Canis lupus familiaris: one gene and its partners. The protein of the gene in region 1 interacts with the protein of each later gene in a pairwise test. Links are inferred from orthologs where the notes say so. Each region holds a gene or a part of one and is shown on either strand. Other genes may lie near its edges.

Evidence for each region. The genes of interacting proteins can lie anywhere in the genome.
Region 2: the proteins of PLSCR1 (region 1) and MVP interact in a two-hybrid assay, tested with the Homo sapiens proteins (2 studies listed by BioGRID and IntAct). The link is inferred for Canis lupus familiaris from reciprocal best matches to the Homo sapiens genes PLSCR1 and MVP.
Region 3: the proteins of PLSCR1 (region 1) and CCER1 interact in a two-hybrid assay, tested with the Homo sapiens proteins (2 studies listed by BioGRID and IntAct). The two-hybrid records come from large-scale screens. The link is inferred for Canis lupus familiaris from reciprocal best matches to the Homo sapiens genes PLSCR1 and CCER1.

What each region holds. Positions count from the first base shown.
Region 1 is NC_049244.1:42,176,495-42,179,994, forward strand, and holds part of PLSCR1 (phospholipid scramblase 1), read right to left. Parts: intron 3,307-3,500; coding exon 3,264-3,306; intron 449-3,263; coding exon 228-448; intron 1-227. UniProt on the Homo sapiens protein: Catalyzes calcium-induced ATP-independent rapid bidirectional and non-specific movement of phospholipids (lipid scrambling or lipid flip-flop) between the inner and outer leaflet of the plasma membrane resulting in collapse of the phospholipid asymmetry which leads to phosphatidylserine externalization on the cell surface.
Region 2 is NC_049227.1:18,042,823-18,046,790, reverse strand, and holds the start of MVP (major vault protein), read right to left. Parts: upstream 2,801-3,968; 5' UTR 2,645-2,800; intron 1-2,644. Other genes in the region: PAGR1 (PAXIP1-associated glutamate-rich protein 1), read right to left, coding at 3,353-3,552. UniProt on the Homo sapiens protein: Required for normal vault structure. Vaults are multi-subunit structures that may act as scaffolds for proteins involved in signal transduction. Vaults may also play a role in nucleo-cytoplasmic transport.
Region 3 is NC_049236.1:31,966,000-31,969,611, reverse strand, and holds CCER1 (coiled-coil domain-containing glutamate-rich protein 1), read left to right. Parts: upstream 1-1,170; 5' UTR 1,171-1,302; intron 1,303-1,431; 5' UTR 1,432-1,662; coding exon 1,663-2,340; intron 2,341-2,712; coding exon 2,713-3,003; 3' UTR 3,004-3,112; downstream 3,113-3,612. UniProt on the Homo sapiens protein: Regulator of histone epigenetic modifications and chromatin compaction into the sperm head, required for histone-to-protamine (HTP) transition.

The sequences.
Region 1 (3,500 bases):
GAAGATCAAGAAGCCTGGTCTCAGATCTCTGATCTCAACCCCATGAGACAGACACACTACTCATGGCCATGAGGCTAACTGCTCATTGTTTTTCACCTGCCTTTCTTCTTGGACAATTTATTCTCAAGTATAAACCAATAAGCTTATGGATCAATTTTCCTTTAAATCTCATTTGATTACATAAATTCAATAAAAGGGTAACAATTCTTACTGAACTACTCACTGACCTCCTGAAGGCAGCAAGGGCAACAACAGCTGCCACACCTTAGTGGTCTCTCCAGAGTTATAACTTCTTGGCCCATATTATCAAGAATCCTTATGGTAAAAGGCCTAGAAGCTCCACAGCAATTTCGGGTACAGAAATCCGTATCCTCTGCTGCAAAGTAAATCCTCTGTCCAAAGCTGTTCTTAATTTCATATTTGTTATTAGTTTCAAAACCTGTTATGACTAAAAACATAAGAGAGGGAATCATTATGACCATTATACTAAAAGAATATCGAATCTATCCTAAGATACTATATCCTACCATTTGTAGATCATACTTTAACAAAAAGGAAAGGTGTTTAGAGATGATCTAGATAGAGGATAAAAGATAAAGGGAAAAAAGAAGGAGAAGGTATTAAGGAACAGAGAAATTAAAGTCTCTGTGTAAGACAGGGAAAAGAAAACTCCTATCTTCTTAATTCCATAGTCTCATGTCAGAAAGACAGACTGCTTCTGAGGGATGGTACAGTGATGTAGATGGTCATAGCTTGCTTTGTGCATGCAGAAAATATCCACTTGCTTGGTATAGTTTTCTAATATTCAATTATATAAGGGAATATAGGATGGTTGCTATGTTCATACTCTATGAAATATTCTGTTGAATAAATTGGCTTGAGTTTTTTTATATATAATATTCATGGCTTATGTTTTTGCACTGTGTGATGGTGAGTAATGACAGGGCTTACTCTTAATGCACACTTGTGCATTAAGAAAGGGAGGGGGTTAAAATGGAGGGTGAATTAGAACATCACATTGGGCTCAGAGCACCCTGGTTTAAGATTTGCTCTACTGGCCTTTGCACATTTTTTAATCTCCATATTTATGAAAAATGTCTAAATTGTTAAGGAACTCTTTCTTAAACCCTTTTAAAAATAGTGGGTTGGATGAAGGAACACAGCTCTGATCAGTGGTGCAATTTCCAAATATGAGTAGCAATGCTGCCAAAATGGAAAAAAAAAATGGTTTAGCTTAGCGGTAGTTATTCAGAAGTGGGTGATGGGTATTAGACAATGGGAAGAGGTGCTTCGCAACCAAGGCTGCAACTCAATAGGCTATCTAGACCACTGGCATCCTACGTAAATTCTGTACTCTGGAGGAGGCTAATCTTTTCACAAGGGGACAGAGGTATGCTAAATGCTGATGTCCATGTGACATCTTACCAATGGGCTCCTATACTGAATCACACATTGCAAACCTCTCCTTGCTTAGAGCCAGGGGAACATTAACAGTCCTACTAGTCTACAGTCCTCATTAACGTGGGTCATGAGATGCCAGAAAGCCACCAATATATAATGAATGATAGAGAGATACATATGGAGACAAAAAATATTCTCTAATATCTGTGTGGATAGACTTAGTCAGATATAGATGTCCTTCATAAATTCTATGATCATGGCCTCTCTTAAGTATCTTAGCTGGCTTCAGCCAGCCTTTGGATTTTTAAAAGAACCACCCTTGACCTCAACATCTGCCAGTCAAGTGCTGTGTAAGAAAAAAATTAAACTGATTCGTAACATGGAGTCTGTTATCTAAATGTTTCATTAGCTAGCTTAATCTCAAATTCTTAGCTAGTTTATCTGTAAAATGAGATGAATGGGTTTACACAATCTCTAAGTTACCTTCTAGTTACAAAATGAGAATGAAATAAGACTTCTATGGTCATCATTACTGTCTATAAAGTTTTGAATTGGGAAGTGTGTAAGTGCCTGTCATACACTCAGATGGTAAAAATAAATGGAATAATCTCCATCTCTTTATGCTATCATGTTACAATATATACTTTCATTGAGATGAAGAGAAAAGAAGAAAATTGAAGACATCACTATTAGAAAACTGAAGAATAACTATAAATTTTGAACTTACTTTACCTTTCATGATATGTATAAAACTTATACATTTAAAAACTATAAATGGGGAGTGCTTTATGATGTACAGTATCTGGTTTGGTTTGATTTTATGACATCAAAAATAAATTTCTTAAAACATTAAAAAATTCAAAGTACTAATTATCAAGCAACAAAGAATGCCTTTCCAGGGAAAACTTAGTATTAACTAAAAACACGCATATTATAAATATCTAACAACGTACATTATAAGCAATTTATTACTTTTTTTTCATTATAAGCAATTTAAATAAAACAGGCAAAACTAAATCTATTATTCTGCTCTTACTATTCATAGTTATAATTTCTATCATTGGAAACAAACTTTGCAGAGAGATGAAGGACTTAACAGATATATTATAAACTCTAGCTGAGCGTTCATTACTCTTTATATCTAGAAGAAAGACACCATGGTTCATGAAGGCATCTAGGTTCTCTTTCCCCTGGTAAGAGTCTTGAAGCATCTGGTGGCTTCTTAAGTTTACCTTGCACCTCAGGAGTGCTGTACCCAAGGAAATATTTATTTGCCATTCACATGAGCAGGAGTGCTGTTTTAAGAAGCCAGGCCTCCAAGCCTACTGATCAGCATCCTCCAACAATGCATTAGCCCTGCACCCAAGGTGATAATCCACAGCCCACAGAACAAAGGTCTTACAAGGTTCATATGAACTCCTGATATAAATTGTTGGCAAGAATACATTTTCCAAAACATACCCATCCAAATTGAAGGACTTTCCTGGCTTTAGAAATGTACCAAGGTAACTGAACTAGTGCATATGGTTCTGTGTCAGCATCAAGATCATGTCAGGCTGGAGAAAACAGCTGAAATGATTTCTAGAGGGAAGTGGGAGCAAAAGTACTTTTGATGGGCTTCCTTCTAAGTTGGCATGAGGATGGATGCTCAGAATAATGGTGTTTTACAAGTTGACTTCTAATTTCCAGAAATGTGCCACTGATAATTGCCATCATTTCATTATCATGAAGAAAGACATTTGTAAATAATCAGATTTAACTGTTCCACATCAGTGAAAGTGTTATATTTGTGGTTGCTGATATGCTTTTATCTGTAAAAACATCTTCTTTCTAGAAATATGGTCAATAAAATGAATACATACCTTCCAGAAGCTCAATTTGCTGATGAATCAGTATTTGATCTATCTATTATAGTAAAAAAAAAAAAAAGACGATATTTTCATTCTTTTTATACCAAAATTAATATTTGTGTTTTCTATTTTAAGGAACGTATATAATAAATTGTCAATATTTATCAATATTTAATAATATCATGTCTTACTTCTAAACTTTTATACCTAAAGGTATAAAATTAAAGTTAATATATCTTTAATTGAAAA
Region 2 (3,968 bases), on another chromosome or scaffold:
GCTCAAAGCTCAGTGCAGTCTGCTTGGGACTGCCTCTCCCTCTGCCCCTCCGCTTGCACATGTGCTCTCTCTTGCTCTAAATAAAATATCTTTTAAAAAATAGAAAAAAAGGTTGAGGCTACACAGACTGAGCCATCCGGGCATCCTGACCATTACTATATTTAAAAGCTTCCCCACTAAATCTAATACACAGCAAGGACTGAACTCTCATTATCTTGGGCCACTTGCTAACTCTGAGCCGGAGTGTCCTAGACTGAGAAGTGGAAAGAAAAGGGACTATTTCCTGGGCTTGAAGAGATTAGTGGCCACAGGGTATCTCTAGTGCACAGGCTCAAAGTAGGGGGCTGGGAGGAAGGAGGGAGATTTAAAGACAAGCTCAGATTACAGACTGCTCCTCAAGGGCAGGGCATTTGGCATTTGGTTATTCACCTCCAGCCCAATCCACTGCCAGGCCCAGGGACCCCCTAGCCAATGCAAGTCCCCTGCCCCACGCAGCCTGAAGTTGGAGGGGAGGCCGGTGGCCCAGCCTGCCACTATCACCTCTATCAAACTCAGGTTTAGGGGTCCCTGGGTGGCGCAGCAGTTTGGCGCCTGCCTTTGGCCCAGGGCACGATCCTGGAGACCCAGGATCGAATCCCACATCGGGCTCCCGGTGCATGCAGCCTGCTTCTCCCTCTGCCTGTGTCTCTGCCTCTCTTTCTCTCTGTAACTATCATAAATAAATAAAAATTTAAAAAAAACAAAAAAAAAAAAACCTCAGGTTTAGGAAAATGCACGATGCCTAGCATAAACAAGGGCTCATTATTGCAGTTTCCCTGATTTTAAACATTCTAGACTTTGGGGAAGGCCAGAAGCCTTCACTATGCACAGATGTTTATACGCTGGTTTAGTTTAGGGAAATTATTTTCTGCTTTAGGGGACTTTTGAGAACTTGTCTCATACTGACCACAACTGTGTAAGAGCAAAGTTTTAGGAACTTTCCTTCCTAGGGAAGACTTATCTGAGCTCCAGTCCAACTACTTTGTGGGAGGAGCAGCTTGGTGGCCTCACTGGAGCCACAACACATCTGCCAGCTCAGAATGCTTCTTGTCCTATCTCCCGGACACTAATTAATGCTCATCACTGAAGGCAATGATTGCCTAGTTGAGAAGTGACCCAGGAACCAGGCTTCACAATTCCTGATCCAGATCAGTGTTTTCTAAGCTCACTCCATCATAAGACCCAGCTGAGAGCATTGCTCCTGTTCATGCGGATTCCCAGGCCTCACCCAGACCAGCTGAGTTTCCAGGAGGCTCCGGAACATGTATCTTTGGCAAGAGCCCCCAAATAACAGCTCCCACTTATTAAGGAATTAACCTGTGCTAGGTGTTGTGTGCCTTTTAACTCATTCATCTAATCCTCACAGGAACCTAGAAGTTAAGGAATTTTGCACAACGGTCAAAGGACAGGGTCAGAATCCTGTCTCTTACCCTACCTGCAGAGCTCCCAAACCAGGAAGTAGCCTGGCTTCTTGGCACAAAACAGGGACCTAAGACCAGGGAGGGAGTTGCGGGGGGCGGGGGGGGGGGGGGGGCGCTGCAGGTAGCCTCCAACAAACAAGGAGGCCCAAGTTCTTGGAGCCCGGGGTGGGGGTGGGGGGGTCAAGGGGCATCCACTCAAGGTGGCTCCTCTACCAGCTCCTGCCTCTGGAGAGCTGCCTCGCCCAGAAAGCTTCACCCCAGGTCAGGCCTGTGTGCCAAGGGCGGAAACAGGCAGGAGTTCCCAGGGAGCACACAGGCTGGCACCCCATGTAACAGAAGGCTTCCCCCTCACAATCCAGGGTCCCCCCAGGGCAAGGAGCAGACAACACAGGGACATCTGTCTCAACCCACTGTCTCCCACCCCTCCAGACTTCACTCAAGAAGAGCCAACCCTAAGATGTCCACAATCACAGACTGGCAAGCCCAAAGGAATTTTGGGTTCCTTCATTTCTCCCAAAGAGAAAAAGAGCCTTGCTCAACAACCAACCCCCACACCTTCTAGAAGTCCAGCCTACCTCAAATTGCTTTCCTAACCACTTCCCACATGGTCCCACATTGGCATAGCCTTTAGTGAGGCAATAGGAAAGCTTCATTTGGCAGAGATGAAGGATCCCGGGGGCAGGGGTAGGGAGAAATCACATTCTAAAAGCTCAAGAGAGGGATCCCGGGGTGGCTCAGCTGTTTAGCGCCTGCCTTTGGCCCAGGGCGTGGTCCTGGAGTCCGGGGATCGAGTCCCACGTCGGGCAACCTGCATGGAGCCTGCTTCTCCCTGTCTCTGCCTCTCACTGTCTCTCATGAACAAAAAAAAAAAAAAAAAAAAAAAAAAACTTTAAAAAATAAATAAAGGCTCTAGAGGACAGGCCAGAGCCCAGGCCAGCCCCAAGGGGGAGCAGACAGCAGGGACCCAGGAGGGAGTATAAATGGACCCACTTTCCTCTGGCCCTTACTTCTGATGTGGGAGCCCCTGAAGTCGAGAGGCCTGAGATTTTGGGGGGTAGGGAGTGTTGGCAAGGTAACAAGTTGACCAACCTTTACTTTCAAAATACAGAAAAAAGAAAAAAAATCCAACAAGGAACGTAAGCCTCCACCCACCTTCTTCCTCCTCAGGGTCAGAGAGGTCTTACCTGCCCCGGCAGAAGCAAGCGGCCCTAGAAGGCAGGACCAGGCTCAGAGAGCCTGGAGGGACACAAGGCCCCACCACTGGTTTAGGGGTGTTTAGGACCAGTACGAAGTATACCCGGAAGGGTGTCCGCTGCCACAGATCCCTCAGATGGGGGAACTCCCTGGCCCAACCCCAGGGATCACTTCCTGACAGAGGAGGGCAAGCTTGGGGGTGGGGCTTGGCCATTTAAAGAGCCCTTGCAGCTGTTTGTCTCCTTTTTTTCCTATGGGCGGCTCCTCTGGCAGCTGAAGGCACTGCAGCCCTTTCAGCCCTCAGGAAGGTCCCGCCTCAGAGCCAGCTGGCAGCACTGGAACGAGAATTGGGGGCAGGTGCTGAGCTCATCTCTGTCCCATGTGGCTTTAATTTTCATTTCCCCACCTGAGTGACTAGGATCCTGATCCGGCTGCTCCAGAACTGGGTTCCTGCTGCAGCCCACCCTCTAGGAGAAAATAACTTTGTGTTTTTTTTATTCTAGATTCCAAAAATTCAGCCCAGGTCTCCAAATAAATGTTCAACAGAAAGCATAAATACACACACATGTCCTCTTTCTGGCAAGGTGCGGTGTTGGGAGCTTGGGAGCTCTCTCCTCTTGCCCAGTTCCCAGTGCCCAGAGTTAGGGAAGGAGAGCCCAGAAGGTATAAGCTCTGCACGCTAAAGGCTGCAACAACACTCAATATTTCCGTTGCCGGGGGAAGAGTGTGCTCCCTGAGGACCGGAGCGGGGGGCTGGTGGGGCTGGGGTCCTCTGAGTCCAGGCTGAAGAGATCCCTGCCAGTACGAAGGATCTGCTCCTCCAGCTTCTTGTGTCGCTTCATGTCTGAGAGGACCTTGTCTAGGCGGGCCTCCCGTTTCTGGCTCCGGGCGGAACTTCCTGGAGAAGAGGAAGGTAAGAAATGTGGACGGGAGTGAGGTGCTGTGCTCCAGACCTGCCTACATATTACTCATTGCTTAGGGAGCTCATTAAACAGAGATTTTCAGGTCTCTGTCACAGAGGTTGTAGGATTTGAGGTTGGGCCTCAGATGGGGTAAGCAGTAAAGGGCTGACTTACAAGAAGGAGCCAGTAATGTGAAAACCAAGGTAAAGATATCCAGGCAGGGGAAGAGCAAGTGGAAAGGCCCCAGAGCAGGAACAGGGAGGTTTGTTCAAAGGGTATAGAGAGCTGGGGTATGGCAGGGAGAAGGAAAGTTGTGGCTCAAGAAACGACTCTGAGGCCATGATGAAAGTTTGGATATCTTAGGTCAAACGGAAATAAATTATCTTTGGAAACTTTGGCGGCCCAAAAAAAG
Region 3 (3,612 bases), on another chromosome or scaffold:
ACATATGTCCACCACTATTATGGTATCATTCAGAGTAGGTTCATGCTAATGTAAATCAAAGCCCATATTCTTCACCGCAATGTTATAAAGGCTCCCAGAGTATGTGCCATCTGGTAGACAAAGGGACATCCGAAAAGAGGCCATTGGCATATTTGTATTCCCAAGAATAACCACCACCACCCTCAGACATCCTGGGATGATTTATTTAAGCAGTGGACATTTGCATGCCATAGCGTAATTACTAAAGTGTTTTCCCATAGGATTTCGTGTCCGCATCCCAAAAGTCCTATTTAAGGGTGAATGGGCAGTCCAGCGCAGCCATATGGTTAAGAATTTGGGGTTGGGGGCCAAACTGCCTGAGGTTTAAATACTGGCCCCAGGGCACCTGGGTGGCTCAGTGGTGGAGCATCTGCCTTTGGCTCAGGGGTGGTCCGGGGATCCTGGGATCCAGTCCCCCATTGGGTTCCCCATGCGGAGCCTGCTTCTCTCTCTGCCTATGTCTCTGCCTTTCTCTGTGTGTCTCTCATGAATAAATAAATAAAATCTTTAATAAATGAGTGAATGAATGAATACTGGCCGCAAAGCTCCTCATCCCGACCACCTCGGGTAAACTAACTTCTGGATTCCCTGAGCTGGGGGGCGCGGTGGCGATGCCAAGCTCACAGAGCCCGCGGGCCTAAGGACTGTGTGCCCGGGGCCCCCGGGGAGCCAGCACGGCTAGCAGGGTGTGCGCTCGCGTTTCACGAACGAGGTGCTGCAACTGCCAGGCGCTAGGGGAGTGTGCACGGCCCCCAAGGTACGAGTGGGGCCCAGTTTCCTGACACCAGGCACTTTCCCCTCTAGGCCTTCCACCTCCCCAAGTGTAGGATGCATGTTTTGCAATGTACAAGGTAGGTCCCCCACCCCGAACCCCACACCCCGCTGCCAAGAGGTTCAACTCTAGGCCCAGGTGCCTCATCCCCGCACCCCCAGGTGGTGCGCAGGTTTCACATGAACCGGCCCCGAGCGTCCTCGGAGTTGGGGAGCACTGCCCCCAGCCTCGGGCCCCGTCGCCCCCTTTCAAATCCTGCGTCACAAGCCCCCTGCGAACCCTCGCGCGGCACCTGGTTCCACCCGAACCGCCCCCCGTCGCCCAAGGAGAACGACCTGGACCCCGATTGGCTGTCGCCCCGGGCAACCAAGGACGCGGTGGGCACGCGGGGCCTCCGGCCACTATTTAAAGGCCGCGCCGCCCGCGCCCGCTCAGTCCCGCCGGGTCCCGGGCCCGACGGGGAAGCGCCTGGGTGGGGAGGGAGCCGCCAGGTACGCGCACCCCGGCCTGCCCGGCTCCCAGGCTCCCGGCGCCTCCGCCGAGGCGGGCGTGGGGGGCCCCGGGAGCGGGTGTCCCCGTGCGTCGCCCACCACCACCTTCGTCCCCCCCTCCCTCCCCAGCCTTACCCAGCCCCAGCCCACCTGGGCCGGACCGCTCGGGGGCGCAGGACGAGAGACTGCGGAGCAAGCGCGAGCGAGCGAGCGAGCGGAGCGGACGGAGACCGGCACGTGCTGCCGCCGCGCAGGCGGACGAGGCTCTGCACACCCGAGGCTCTGCACACCCTCGGCTCGGGCCAAACGACCGCAGCTTCCGGGGCGCTTCCGCTTCCACCTCCCCGAGCTCCGTGAGCGATGACCCAGACCCTCTACACACGGGAGGAGCCTCGTAACCTGGGCGGCGGCTGGGCGCCCCCCGCCCCGTTGCGCACCTGGTCCACCTGCCACCGAAGGCGCAGGGGCGCCCCGATTTACAAGCGGCGCCGCCGCTACGGCCCCAAGTCTGAGTATGAGCCCCCCTGGAAACAGCCGAAGCAGCAGCACGGCCCGGGCCCGTGGTTCCAGCCACCCCGACGGCCCTACTGGGCCGTGTCCCCTAACGGGGGGCGCCGCGGGGGGCCCTGGCGCCCGCCCCCCGGGGGCTTCTGGCGGCGGCCCGGCCGCGTGCAAGTGATCCGGGTGTACGGCCTGCACCCCGTCTGCCTGTGCTGCTGCTCGTGCTGGCGCGGGCCCTGGAAGCGCGGCTGGGCGCGGCCCCCGGGCAGGAGGAAGCGCTGGGGCCGCCGGGGTCGAGGCCCGCGCCGCCCGCCTCGCCGCCCCTCCCCGCCGCGCCCGCCCGCCGCGCTGAGCACCCTGCTCCGGCCCGTCAACCTGTACGGGTGGCGCGCGCCGGGCATGCGGGCGCCGCGCAACACCACGCAGTTCATCATGAACCAGATCTACGAGGACATGCGGCAGGAGGAGCTGGAGCGCCAGCAGGAGGCGCTGCGGAGGCAGCAGGCCGCCCCCGGGGGCTCCTCCCAGAGCGACGAGGCCCCCCGCGGCGAGGAGGGGGAGGGGGAGGAGGAGGACCGGGAGGAGGAGGAGGACCGGGAGGAGGAGGAGGAGGAGGAGGACGCCGGCCCGTGGGGCGCTCCGTACGGCGGCGTGCAGGACCCGTCGCTCGTCTTCAGTCCCGACCCCGACCGGGAGCTCGGGTCTCCCGCCGCACCGCTGGGGCAGGAGGAGCAGGGGGAGGAGGGGGAGGAGTGCGAGTGCGAGTGTGACAACGAGGAGTGTGATGGGAAGGAGGAGGAGAGCCAGGAGGAGGAGGAGGAGGAAGAGGCCTCAGATGATGAAGAGGAGGAGGTCGAAGAGGCTGACTGTGTGGAGGAGGGGGAGGAGGAGCAGGAGGAGGAGGAGGGGGAGGAGGGGGAGGAGGACCAGGAGGAGGAGGAGGAGGATCAGGAGGAGGAGGAGGAGACAGAAGAGGAGGCCGTGGAGGAGGAGGAGCCGAGAGAGGAAGAGAACCATTTACCTCTGCAAATGCCTTTGTCGTTCCTAGTGGGGCCCGAGGAAGAGAGAGAGAACTTTCTAAACTGTGCTTATTTAAGCCCCAAGCAGATCATTCCTAGAGTGGCCCAGGAAGCCCTCCTCGTGGTTGAGACATTAACTGTTAGCAGGAAAAGGATTGAGGATGGGATGGAACTGATGTGAGGCTAAAATGGAATAGCCACTTATTGAAAACCAGTTCCAAAAAAAAAAAAAAAAAAGAGTTCCATTAATAAACATACCAGTGGAAACCCCTTCTTTGGCCATCATAAAATGTTCAGAAACTGGTGTGTTTGTGTATGAGTATGGGTGGGGGAGGGGCAGCTTTCAAATATAATTTAATCGGAAATGATTAAAGGCCAAATATTTTATTACTGCAGTTTGAATGGTTTCATTTGGTGTTTTCCTCTCTAGACACAAGATTTTTTTTTCAATTCTGGCAATTTTTTTTTTTTTTTAAGTTCTGGCAATGCTGGAAGGTTTTTCTAGGGTGCTTTTTTGTTTTGGTTTTGGTTTTGTTTCTTTGGTAACAGATTTATTCAACTGTCAAGTAGACAGTTGAGCTTGGAATCAACAGGTTTTTTGGCGGTTACATGCTTCAGGAGCCCACGCGGTAGCTGCTGAATGTCTGTCAGTGCTCTTAACATCATAGTGACACCATGTAAGAATGTCTATATTTCAAAAAAATATTTTTCCTCGTAGATTCTCCACCTTCAGAGTTCGTTTTTGAGGGTTGTAATTTGCTAACCCCACTTGTCTCTCGTGGCATCACTC